Linked DNA regions of Arabidopsis thaliana. The protein of the gene in region 1 interacts with the protein of each later gene in a pairwise test. Each region holds a gene or a part of one and is shown on either strand. Other genes may lie near its edges.

The links. The genes of interacting proteins can lie anywhere in the genome.
Region 2: the proteins of AT2G34480 (region 1) and NIK1 interact in a two-hybrid assay, tested with the Arabidopsis thaliana proteins (one study listed by BioGRID).

Annotation. Positions count from the first base shown.
Region 1 is NC_003071.7:14,530,024-14,536,029, forward strand, and holds AT2G34480 (Ribosomal protein L18ae/LX family protein), read right to left. Parts: upstream 4,387-6,006; 5' UTR 4,256-4,386; coding exon 4,124-4,255; intron 4,016-4,123; coding exon 3,900-4,015; intron 3,802-3,899; coding exon 3,738-3,801; intron 3,235-3,737; coding exon 2,893-3,234; 3' UTR 2,601-2,892; downstream 1-2,600. Other genes in the region: AT2G34460 (NAD(P)-binding Rossmann-fold superfamily protein), read left to right, coding at 74-466, 545-709; UREG (urease accessory protein G), read right to left, coding at 877-960, 1,054-1,158, 1,251-1,372, 1,483-1,684, 1,775-1,835, 2,041-2,244, 2,336-2,388; CYP710A2 (cytochrome P450, family 710, subfamily A, polypeptide 2), read right to left, coding at 5,851-6,006.
Region 2 is NC_003076.8:5,220,319-5,227,903, forward strand, and holds NIK1 (NSP-interacting kinase 1), read left to right. Parts: upstream 1-3,615; 5' UTR 3,616-3,945; coding exon 3,946-4,069; intron 4,070-4,253; coding exon 4,254-4,386; intron 4,387-4,475; coding exon 4,476-4,547; intron 4,548-4,651; coding exon 4,652-4,795; intron 4,796-4,890; coding exon 4,891-4,962; intron 4,963-5,061; coding exon 5,062-5,121; intron 5,122-5,205; coding exon 5,206-5,303; intron 5,304-5,386; coding exon 5,387-5,536; intron 5,537-5,621; coding exon 5,622-6,685; 3' UTR 6,686-6,970; downstream 6,971-7,585.

The DNA of each region.
Region 1 (6,006 bases):
GTATGTTCTTGGTCTTAATCCAATGTTTTCTCGCTCTCATTTTCTCACAACTGCTCTGTGATTTCTTCTATAGGTTAGAGCAGACGTGACAGAAGGTCCTGATAAGCTAGCTGAAGTTATAGGTGATGATTCTCAAGCTGTGATTTGTGCTACTGGGTTTCGTCCCGGATTTGATATATTCACTCCTTGGAAAGTCGATAATTTCGGGACAGTGAATCTTGTGGATGCTTGCCGTAAACAAGGAGTGGAAAAGTTTGTTCTTGTAAGCTCCATCTTGGTGAATGGAGCTGCCATGGGACAGATACTGAACCCTGCTTACCTCTTCCTCAACCTCTTTGGACTAACTCTTGTCGCTAAGCTTCAAGCCGAGAAGTATATCAAAAAATCTGGCATCAACTATACTATAGTAAGGCCTGGTGGTCTTAAAAACGATCCTCCAACTGGAAATGTTGTCATGGAGCCAGAGGTAAAACACAGCCTTTGATATTTGTTTCATCTGTTTTGTGCTGGAAACTGATAAAGATCTGACCTTTGATTTTTGTAGGATACTCTATATGAAGGGAGTATATCGAGAGACCTGGTCGCAGAAGTTGCAGTGGAAGCTTTACTTCAAGAGGAATCATCTTTCAAGGTTGTGGAGATAGTTGCTCGTGCCGAAGCTCCAAAACGTTCCTACAAAGATCTATTTGCCTCTGTTAAAGGACAATAAACTAGAATGTAATGAGTCTCATGCTCAAACCTTTTATTTCTCTTATGTCTTGAGTACAACAAACAGATTACATAGACTTTTGCGCATAAATTGAGTTCAAGATAAGTATTGAAAGAGTTCCATTCAGTTTCATATCTTATCCATTTTGGGTCTTAAGAACCCCATCATCACTGGCGCTTCTTCCCGGTCGCATGTTCCCATGAGTGCATGACATGGTTCACGATTTCCTCGACTCCAAGCCCATGCTTCACCTGCCAATGTTTAGTAATCAAAGAAGACTCTTTTGTAAGTACTAAGGTCATTGGTTATATAAGTGATGAAACATATTTCTGAAGATGGCGAACCTGAGCAAAGACAAATGGCCCTCCATCACGCATGCGTAGTGAATCCCTTTCCATGACCGATAAGTCAGCCCCAACAGCTGCTGCAAGGTCAGTCTTGTTTATCACCTGCAGTTGGAAAAATCCACAAGAGATTCTTTCACACTACTATAGACTTGATCAAAAGGAGTAAGTGAAGAGTTAAGGCAGCATAAGCGCACCAGAAGATCAGCTTGAGTGATTCCAGGGCCGCCTTTACGGGGTATTTTATCACCAGCCGATACATCGATGATGTAGATGATATAGTCAGCTAGTTCTCTACTGAAATTAGCAGCTAAATTATCTGCAACACACAACACTAAGCCTATTCATATCTCATTGGTTCCTTGAGAAACAGAAATCTATATATCGTGCAGATTAACTATCAAGAACTAGCTAGAAATGAAACCTCACCTCCACCGGATTCACAAAGAAGCAAATCAGCCTTGAATAAGTTAGATAACTCCTCAAGAGGACCCAAATTGATACTGATATCTTCACGGATAGCAGCGTGTGGACATCCACCTGTTTCAACAGCTCTAATCCTTTCCTCAGGAAGAGCCCCATTCTTCACCAGAAACTCACCATCCTCTTTCGTGAATATATCATTTGTCACCTACAACGTTTACAATATCAAAATCTTATTTAGTCACATGAGTGAGATCGAGAAAACAATCTTGTGTTTGCCACTGATAATAATACTCACAGCAGCAAGACTATATTTGTCCCTCAAGAATCTACAAAGAGCAAGCATCAATGCCGTTTTCCTGAGTCAACAAAAACAACAATCCAATGGTGATTAGACTAAAAAGTTTGACACTTTTATGAAACCCAAATCTTAAAATAGCATTCCAAAGAACCCAGACAAGAACATTATCATAGATTCATGCTTAATCCTTAACCCAGAGATTAAAATTTGTTACGGTACCAAATTACAAAATCAAGCAGTAAATTTGATCATGAAATGATTACCCAGTGCCAACGGGACCGCCAATACCGACGGTAAAAGCTCTCTCAGAGAAGTTACGGTCGTGAAGCGGAGGAGCTCGGCGACTGAAGTAGCCAGGAGAGTAGATGGGTTCGTGTGAGTGAGGTGCGAGTCCATCGTGGCTATGGTACACCTTCCCGTCCTTCCCCACCCACGACGCCTTCCCTTCTCCGCCGTCTGATTTCCTACTTGACAGAAGAAGTAGAGAAACAGATTAGTGAGGGGAATAAATCGTATCAAGATCAGAACTTTACAGAGAAAATCAATGATAACACGAACTCGTGGTCATGCTCATGATCGTGATGATGATGATGGTGGTCGTGTGATGCCATTTCCGAGAGACTCGAATCTTCTTCCGGTAGCTGTGTTGACTTTGAGTAGAGCTACTACTGGGATTCTGGGATCATTAAGCACAGTTTTTAATGTAAGAATCTTTCTATATTTTTCTATCCTAAGTGAAAGGAGATGCTTTCTCTGTCGGGAGCATAAAATGACTGTAATACCCCTGTCATATGTTAAGTGTTTGAAGGCAAAATTACAGTAGAGGAAACGTATTTTAACTGACACCAAGTTGGTATCACAGTCCAAGACTTAAAATCTTTCACTTTAAAGAAGCGATGGTTGTTAACACAATAAAGAGCACAAAATATAGGAATTAAGGGAAAGGTTTTTTCATAAGTAGGAAACAAGAAGCATAAAATCCAGACAAAGTCGAGTTCACATTCATGAGTACGCCTAACATATTGAAAAACAAAAATAACCGATAAAATCCAAAACGGGAGAGAGCACAGCTTCAACATCGATTCCACCCCAAAAAAGAGTCAATCAGAGACGTTTTACATGAACAAGTTGGGCTTGTTGGCCTTGTAAGTCGTCTTCAGCTTCCTGCTTGGTGGTCTAACCTTGCGGAACACCAATGGGAACTTGATCTTGCTGTTGTGGAACTGTTTAGTGCTCTCTCTCTTGCACAGCTTGGCTGGGACAGTGGCTGTCTTGATGATCTGAATGCAAGGGAATCTGACACGGTGACGGGATGCCATCTCAGTGTACATCTGCTCAACAGCTCCGTTAAGAGTGGTGTCACGGTACTCCTTGTACATGTTGTGGTACCCAGTTCTACTCTGGTACCTCAACCAAATACCGAAGTTCTTGATCGTTGTTGGGTTCTTCTCATAGATCTGTGCAAACAATTTGGTAATAGATTACATTAGTCAAGAGAGGGGCCAAGGAGCAATCAAACAATATAAACTCATGATAAAAACGTGATATGGTTTCAATTTCGATTCAATAGCAAGTCGAGAGAATCAAGTAAGAGACTTTGGTGAATCTAAGTTTTCTCATTTGATGACAGACAGCAAATGAAAAGTATTAACCTAGACTAACAGACAAAGAAATTATCAGAATCAGCAAAATTAGAAGTATGATACAAATAGATTCAAAGCCATGAGAGATTTGCATGATCAGGCTATTTGAAAGTTACATAAAAGTATTGTATAATAGTCAGGCAAACAAAAGACTCTGCATTTATAGGTTAAACAAAGACGCAAACGTGATCAATCAAAACCCTAGTGTTCTAGTCAAGCAAATACATTCACTTTCCAGATAAATGAATCTAAGTGCCTAACTCAATAAGATATAAGAAGTCAAACGAGATTGCGTCATTTCACAAATGAACAAGTACCTCGTTGATGGCGAGCATCTGTCCATTACTCTTCTTCACCTTCTTGAGCTTCCTCAAGAAATACCTAATCCAAATAACACACTCTAATTAAAGATCAAGCTCATATCATTCTCAGCAGCAACAAAAATGGAAAAGAGAGAGAGAAAGAATATGATTACTAACCAGAACTTGGACTTGGCACGAACCTCGTTCGTAGCCCAGAGCTTCATCCTGTAAATCTTAGGCTGCACATCCTTCTCTGTCGGGAGAGCTCTTCCCACAACCTGGTACTGGTGAAACTGCAAATGAAACCAGACAAAGCTTAGATCAGATTCTTTCTTCGAGTCCGAAACTTGAATCAGCAGCAAATAGTGTCATTGAAATCAACAAGGAATCAAAGAGCTTACCCTGAAAGCACCCATTTTTCGTCTGGAGAGAGACAATGCGGTGGAAACCTCAACCAAATATAAGCGGCTAGGGTTCTTCTTCTTTATAAATGAGCATCTGCCCAAAAACCCTAATTCTAAAACTGATATCATAAAAGCCCAATGGGCTGTTAATTGTAATCAAGTCTTAGCCCACCCGAAATTTGGTTATTTCCTCCTCCTCATTTTATTATTTCTCTCTAGTCAAATTTTTGTAGCAAGTTTCAATATTATATCCTTACCAGGCCAAATAGTGCACACACACATACGGGAAAAAAAAAAAAAAAAAAAAAAAACCATTTTATTTGAAGAGGGGTGAAAGTGAAAATCATTAACCAAAAAATATGAAAGTGAAAAACTACCAAACTTTATCTGTTTAAAGCAAAACGACAGAAGACAGATGTGGGTTACGACAAAGCCCAAACACACATATATAGGTCCAATCCACTCTATAGTAGCATTGTGAGATCCAACGAAGTAAATTAGTGGGTGATGAGGACACGCAAACACGAGCGCAAGAAAGAAAAAAAAAAAAAAAAGGTAATCAAGGTCGTTATTGCATACTGTGTATCTCACACATTCATTGCATAATTGTGACACGCCAACGCCATTGATGAAGACTCTCGACGATGACAAAAGGACTTGTATATGATTAAATTGTACTGTTTAATCAAGATGCTCAGCAACTCCTATCCAAACATAATTGTTTGACAAGAAATCAATACATATGTCAAAATCATATGTCAGCATCTTCAGATATATTTTTCTTCGCATTGTAAATATTAGCAATTAAATCTCATTCTCATTAATTTAGAAAATAATACAATTGGGGGTTTATATACAACTTAACCAAAGGCTTAAACCATAAGCCATAAACCAAAACTTAAACCAAAACTAAGATTAATTTATAGAAATATCAATCTGTACATACTCTCTATACTATAAGATAACTATATACAATAATAGTAAATCTTCTCAGTTTTTACGTACTTTGCTTTTATGGCTAAATTGTAAATATCATTAAAATAAATAATCAGGTCTTAAACTTTGGTTAGTAGCTAGAACCTATATAATTGAAAGTGTGAAACCTTGACAGTTGACACAAAAAGAGAATAAAAAACTAGGAATCAAATTTTTTCTAAGAGAAAACATGGGTGACTTCATGGCAACCATAGTGCCATCAAATTTCGGAATTGTTTACTTTGCGACATCAACACTTTACTACACCTATCGTCACAGTGTTATTTTATCTTGCTAATCGTATAGATAAAATATTAATATTAATTATCTTACAAAAATGTAAATAAGAAAATGAAATGTAAAAATCTAACAGGAACTATAGGGTTGTATATGTATATTAGTATATCTTAACGATCCAAATGTACAATAATACCGAGAATGTGTGAATTCTTTTACGGTTTTGGCTTTCTGTCGTTATATACCACGAGGCGATATTGTTATCTCTATTTGAATCGAAAAATAGAGAAAATGACATAAAATACATGAAACACGTTATAGAATCACTGGGGTCCAAACAAAATAAGACAGTACAGATTAATGGCAAAACAATGACTTCTCAAATTCAACAAGACATAACGCTCTAGTGGAACTCACCTCACGAGACACATCACGATCACGAACAACAATAATAGTAATCACACTCATGAGTATTGACTTTGATCACCAATAATTTGTAACAAAAATCCAAATCAGAGGTTCGGATACGTTACGATGCGCTTAGACAAGAACACCGTGCACCCGTCCTTTGGCGATATCGTGGGACAGTATATGATGTCATCGCAACCGTCCGATTGAAGTCTCTTGAAATCAAACAACGATGAGAACATAGCGATGAAGAGCACGAG
Region 2 (7,585 bases), on another chromosome or scaffold:
TAGGCATGAAATACTGAGGCTCTTCTCTAATGTTATCTAAAAATAACCTAGAAATCACAGGAACCTTCAACATTTCACAATCACCATTTGGAATACATGTATGCACATCCTTGAACACATTCACTCTCCACTTAGGACATTTTTTAGGCACTGCACAATAGATTCGCCATACACAACCATCACCATCACACTTAAAAGCAACCTTATCTTTATCATACATGTATTGTGCAATGTTGCATCCTGTCTTCAAGGCATGGTCGAGTACAACTTCCTTAAAGGCTATCTCGTTGAAGAATGTCTGGTGATAGTAGAGATTCCCTCCTCCACGTCTACTGTTCTCACGCTTTCTCTCCCGAACAACATCCTCATCTTCATCATTGTCACTGTCCGGATACTCGTCGTGAAGAATCGAAGGCTCATCTCTGAACTCATTTACGGCCTTCTCGATTTCAAACGCGTCTCGGTCCCTCGGATCTTCGTCGTCAGGAACATCGTCCTCCATTAGAATTTCTTCTCCTTCAAACTCTTGCGGACCAGTTCCGGTAGCCTCCTGATGAACGATTAAAGCATTCGTCTCAAATTCATTCGCATCCATCGAATTCAAAAACTGGGGATTTTTCAATTTTAGGGTTCTATCGAATTAGGGATTTTTTGAATTGGGGGTTTTCTGAATTTAGTCGGGTTGTTTGGGTAATAAAACGGGTTGGTTTATGTGTTAATCCGATTTAGTTTCGTTCTTATACGGTTAATGTTGTTTCGGGTACAGTAAACCAACGATAAACCACGAAATTCAAAATTTTGTGGACTGAAGATTTGAACTTTTGATTTAGGGAGACTGAGGTTTAGAACTTTCATTTGGTGTGGATTGGAGACGAGGTCCGAAATCTGTGAAGTTGTGAGTGTATATGAAACTTCCCATAGGAACACAGGTCGTTCACCCTAGTTATAATCATTATATTCCAATAGACCATGCAAATACAATTATTGAGGTATTTTATTCAAATGGAACCCCAAATTAATTTCAAAATTTCATGATTTCAACGGATTCTAGGAAACATTATGATTATAAATTGTTTGTTATTGTCTACTTGATGACTAACAGTCCACTTAATTTCAGGAATTGTTAGTGTAATATTCAAAAAAGAAAAGCTTCCATTCCATATGCTCTTAAATACTTTTTAATTTTGTGTTATTAGGCCTAATACAGTGTAAGGAAACTAATACTTTTAGCCACCTTAATCAAGTATATAAACCGTCTTTGGATATCAAATAATAATCATAATCTATAATCTATAGTAAAATCTCATTTTCGTCTAACCAAGAATTTGATGACAATTAGGTGAGTGAAAAAAAGACAAATACAAAACTCTAAGTGAGAAAAAACAAAGTCTTAGACAATCGGGTGTATCGAATTAATTATACATTGCCAAGCATATATAGACAATGTAATGGCTGTAAATGGCAGAAGTAGTTTGAATCTTCATAACCGATTTAGAACACTTGAAATAAAATAAAACGATGAGCAATTTGTCATTGTGTAATGTGTATATATATGTTGTGACTAACAACTTTTGTATCAAATTTTAAACTAATTTACAAAATCTGAAGACTGTAGTAATCACGGGAAAAAAACTTTCGTGAGTTCATATAAAACTATGGCCAATAATCTAATATAACCAATCATGCAGTCTCCCTAACATGATTGAAGTTGAGACAATTTAGCTTCAGTGCCCTAGGCATAGGACTCAAGTTGGGAACCATTTTTCCCTATCTGCATTCTGCACAATAGTTCATGTCATGTTTTGTAATCTTATAAAAATTTATGATTTTCATTTTTGTTTCCCCTGAAAGTCACAGAACCCATTTACCATCAAACGTCAAATCAACGAGAAAAAGCATTAAATATTAATGATTGTTTCTCATAAATCGAGTTTTAAGAAACCGTGTCACGTGGAGACCAAACTATAAAAACTTGACTAGGAATGAAAGTAGTTCTTGAACAAGGAAATTTTATATATTGTTTGTTCACCACAAATTTAGAATATTTGTTTTTGTTTCTTTCCTTTTGGTTTACAGGTCGGTACGCATTGATGAAGATAACGATGATGTACGAATGTGAATATATATAGTTAAATAAATAGAACCTTGCAAAATCATTTTTAATGTGTGCTCCATTACAAGAAAAATAAATGATTCACATGTATTCTTACTAAGTAAACAACATTTCTTGATATAGTAAACACATATTACGTACTTTGTTGATCGAAATCAGAATCTAAGCAAATATTATTGTGTAATTTTTCTGTTAACCAACTTTTCGAAACAAGATAATTTGACGTTAAGTTTCAAAAATTTGGTTAAGGGAAAAATGAAATTACAAGATATATTTACTAGTTTATGTAATATTATAAAAAAACTTCTCCAAAATTTCAGATGATTGAAATCTTTAAAAGCCAGCATAACTATAATGAATGATGATAATTAAGTATTTCACTTAACCAGGTAAACCATATTCGTTTTAAGATCATATAGTAGTATATACTTCGAACAAATGCAAATGCATGTCATAATATTACTGCCAACTCACACATAGACAAAAACCCATGAAAACGACACGAGGTTTGGACAAATTGTAATGTCTTGGACTTGGATACTGGGTTATCTTATACATCTATTATTACTACACACTACAAAATATTGAAAATCTTATTGTGAATATAAATCTTGTAGTAGTCAAATAAAAAAAGAGTGGGTTAAAATATTTGCATTTTGACTATTAAGAAAAGGTGTTGTATTCTGAAATTTGTTATCTATACAGATTTGTTTTCCTGATGGAAGTTAAATGTGATCGTTGCTCTTAGTGGGATTTATCGAATTTATTTCTTTTAGATCTAAATTTTTTAAAAGACTATTATAAATAATTAACTTACAACATTTTTTTGAAGAAAAAAAAGCTTATCCTTCAATACTTGTACTAATATCTTCGTATTTCCACACATCGAGAAGACAAAGATGCTGAAAATTTGAGTGGGCAACAAAATCAATATAGTAGACAGAAGTATCTTGAGCCTAGTTTTTCATACAGTATAATCTTCTCATCGAAGTTCTCACATTCTCAAAACATATTAATCAAAAAAAAAAAAAAAAATTGCATACAAAAACATTCTATATACGGAGGAATTAATAAAGTCTAGCCTATGCATGACCAACCATGGATTGTTGGGTTCCGTTTACACCAAGCAATCAGTCAACAATGTGATTTAATCATACCCTTGAAACTTAACAACTCTTTTTCATCAGATTTCAACACTCGAAAAACAATCTATGTAAGTGTAATGTGAAATAAATTAAGAAATAGGAAAATGTAACAAAAACACTGTATATTCTAAACTAAAATTAGAAACCATAGACAAAAACATGACAGGGTGGCAGCTAGCAAAAGAACAGTAATCTAATTTCCTGCTTTACCCTTCAAAATTTTTGAAATACACAAAATATAGATTTGCTTTACTGACTATTCTTGTCGATTACAAGAAACAATATGGGCAAAATTATTTTTATAATATCTTTTCTTACAAATTTTTAATATAAATTTATTACTTTTTTAACGGTCTCCCCACACACAAACTTTATCGACAAGCATGCTATTCTAATTTCACTTTAGACTACCAATGAATCTGGTATCTCTATAAAGTTTGTATATCTTGTTTCTGACATACAAAAAAATAGTTTTTTTTAAAATAAAGGTTATGCTTTTGGTGAAGTGGGTTCATCTTGATGTTGAAATGTTTTTATACTTTAACCAAAATTGAAATGAAAAAAGGATAGAGATTTGGTTTTTTGATTCTTCCAATCTCACTCTCTCTGTCTTTCTCTCTCCATCAAATACCAAATTATCTGGAAGCTGAGTACATCTTGTTTTCTGCTCATTCCTCTGTTTCAACAATGGAGAGTACTATTGTTATGATGATGATGATAACAAGATCTTTCTTTTGCTTCTTGGGATTTTTATGCCTTCTCTGCTCTTCTGTTCACGGATTGCTTTCTCCTAAAGGTGTTAACTTTGAAGGTATATTCACTGTAAAGTCTCACTCTTTGGATTCTCTCTCTTTTTTTTTTTTTTACATTGTCACTTTCGTAGATGAAGTGTTTGATATTTGGTCTTTCTGGAATTTTTAGTTGATGGGAATTCAAATAAAAGTATATATTTCTTCTTGATCCAAACTAATATGGGAGTTTTTTATTTTCGTCAGTGCAAGCTTTGATGGACATAAAAGCTTCATTACATGATCCTCATGGTGTTCTTGATAACTGGGATAGAGATGCTGTTGATCCTTGTAGTTGGACAATGGTCACTTGTTCTTCTGAAAACTTTGTCATTGGCTTGTAAGTTTCACATTTTACATTGATACACTTATACTGTATATTACACTGATGAGCAAGCAAGGAAAACAATGATATAAATTTTATTACAGAGGCACACCAAGTCAGAATTTATCTGGTACACTATCTCCAAGCATTACCAACTTAACAAATCTTCGGATTGTGTAAGTACTTACTGTTCACTAAATGATTATTAAGTTTAAAATTTGATTAAATTCTTCTGTTTTGTGTGTGTGTGTGTGTTCTTGATGATTTTTTCCTCTTACAGGCTGTTGCAGAACAACAACATAAAAGGAAAAATTCCTGCTGAGATTGGTCGGCTTACGAGGCTTGAGACTCTTGATCTTTCTGATAATTTCTTCCACGGTGAAATTCCTTTTTCAGTAGGCTATCTACAAAGCCTGCAATATCTGTAAGAATAGTAAAAATTTGTTATGGATCTTTTAAATTTTGTGTTGTTTTTATAAGGAATTTGTGATCTTGATATGTCATGTTGTGTATCATCAGGAGGCTTAACAACAATTCTCTCTCTGGAGTGTTTCCTCTGTCACTATCTAATATGACTCAACTTGCCTTTCTGTAAGCTAATAAATCTTCAGTTTACATTAACCAGTAAAGAAATTCATATGTAGAGACATGAAATGTTGAGATTTGATCTGTTTTTTTTTTTGTTTCCAGTGATTTATCATACAACAATCTTAGTGGTCCTGTTCCAAGATTTGCTGCAAAGACGTTTAGGTAATTTGATTTATTGACAATGTCTCACTCTTTCACTCTCTTTGTCCGTATGATAACCTTTCATTGTTTCCCTTCGGATTACAGCATCGTTGGGAACCCGCTGATATGTCCAACGGGTACCGAACCAGACTGCAATGGAACAACATTGATACCTATGTCTATGAACTTGAATCAAACTGGAGGTAAATAACGAACTTCCTTTAAAACTTTCAATCTTAGTATTATGATCATACCTAACTAACAACAAACTGCTTTCTTTTTTAAGTTCCTTTATACGCCGGTGGATCGAGGAATCACAAAATGGCAATCGCTGTTGGATCCAGCGTTGGGACTGTATCATTAATCTTCATTGCTGTTGGTTTGTTTCTCTGGTGGAGACAAAGACATAACCAAAACACATTCTTTGATGTTAAAGGTTTGATCTTACTCAGTTTATTACTTGCACAGAACAATCTTATAAAGTTTTTTTTTTTTATAAAGAAAGTTCTTTTATTCAACAGATGGGAATCATCATGAGGAAGTTTCACTTGGAAACCTGAGGAGATTTGGTTTCAGGGAGCTTCAGATTGCGACCAATAACTTCAGCAGTAAGAACTTATTGGGGAAAGGTGGCTATGGAAATGTATACAAAGGAATACTTGGAGATAGTACAGTGGTTGCAGTGAAAAGGCTTAAAGATGGAGGAGCATTGGGAGGAGAGATTCAGTTTCAGACAGAAGTTGAAATGATCAGTTTAGCTGTTCATCGAAATCTCTTAAGACTCTACGGTTTCTGCATCACACAAACTGAGAAGCTTCTAGTTTATCCTTATATGTCTAATGGAAGCGTTGCATCTCGAATGAAAGCAAAACCTGTTCTTGACTGGAGCATAAGGAAGAGGATAGCCATAGGAGCTGCAAGAGGGCTTGTGTATCTCCATGAGCAATGTGATCCGAAGATTATCCACCGCGATGTCAAAGCAGCGAATATACTTCTTGATGACTACTGTGAAGCTGTGGTTGGCGATTTTGGTTTAGCTAAACTCTTGGATCATCAAGATTCTCATGTGACAACCGCGGTTAGAGGCACGGTGGGTCACATTGCTCCAGAGTATCTCTCAACTGGTCAATCCTCTGAGAAAACAGATGTTTTTGGCTTCGGGATTCTTCTTCTTGAGCTTGTAACCGGACAAAGAGCTTTTGAGTTTGGTAAAGCGGCTAACCAGAAAGGTGTGATGCTTGATTGGGTTAAAAAGATTCATCAAGAGAAGAAACTTGAGCTACTTGTGGATAAAGAGTTGTTGAAGAAGAAGAGCTACGATGAGATTGAGTTAGACGAAATGGTAAGAGTAGCTTTGTTGTGCACACAGTACCTGCCAGGACATAGACCAAAAATGTCTGAAGTTGTTCGAATGCTGGAAGGAGATGGACTTGCAGAGAAATGGGAAGCTTCTCAAAGATCAGACAGTGTTTCAAAATGTAGCAACAGGATAAATGAATTGATGTCATCTTCAGACAGATACTCTGATCTTACCGATGACTCTAGTTTACTTGTGCAAGCAATGGAGCTCTCTGGTCCTAGATGAAATCTATACATGAATCTGAAGAAGAAGAAGAACATGCATCTGTTTCTTGAATCAAGAGGGATTCTTGTTTTTTTGTATAATAGAGAGGTTTTTTGGAGGGAAATGTTGTGTCTCTGTAACTGTATAGGCTTGTTGTGTAAGAAGTTATTACTGCACTTAGGGTTAATTCAAAGTTCTTTACATAAAAAATGATTAGTTGCGTTGAATAGAGGGAACACTTTGGGAGATTTCATGTGTGAAATTTGGGAATTCATGTTTGAGAATGAAATTTATCTTATTATTGGATCCAACTCCACAAGTTAAAAATTTTCATTAATGCAAACTAGTTTCATTGTTTGTTTTGCACACACACCTGACCTACTGATAGGAAAAGGTAAAGTGAAAAAAAGAAGAAATGTCTCTCATAAAGACAACACGTAGTTCATATGTTGCCAAAACTTAAACGGAACTTTACTTTCGTTTTCAATGGATGATGAAACGTCGAGAATGTGTTTTCAAGAAAACGGCATGAAGTTGTTCTCTCCGTCAAAGAAACGACGTGTTTGTGTATATAAGGAAACACCACGTGGACGTGGACCGTCCATGAAATATAAAAACGGCAATAATCTATGTATACATGGTTCACACTAGATTCAAAGTCACACTTTATACCTACAAATGGAAACGTTCACACAATAGCTTCATCAAAGTCAGAATCACATATAGTGATATGATTTGGTTTGATAACATTAACAATATGCAAAGTCAAGAATTACACGCACATTCTATACGTTTATATGAAAGAAAAAGACAGTTAAAAAGCGAATCATATCTGCATAATTGCATCTGATCTCATGTCGGTGTCTCCTTAATCCTTAAGTATTTCTTATCAAAAAATTTGTGGCTATTAATAGAAGAGAA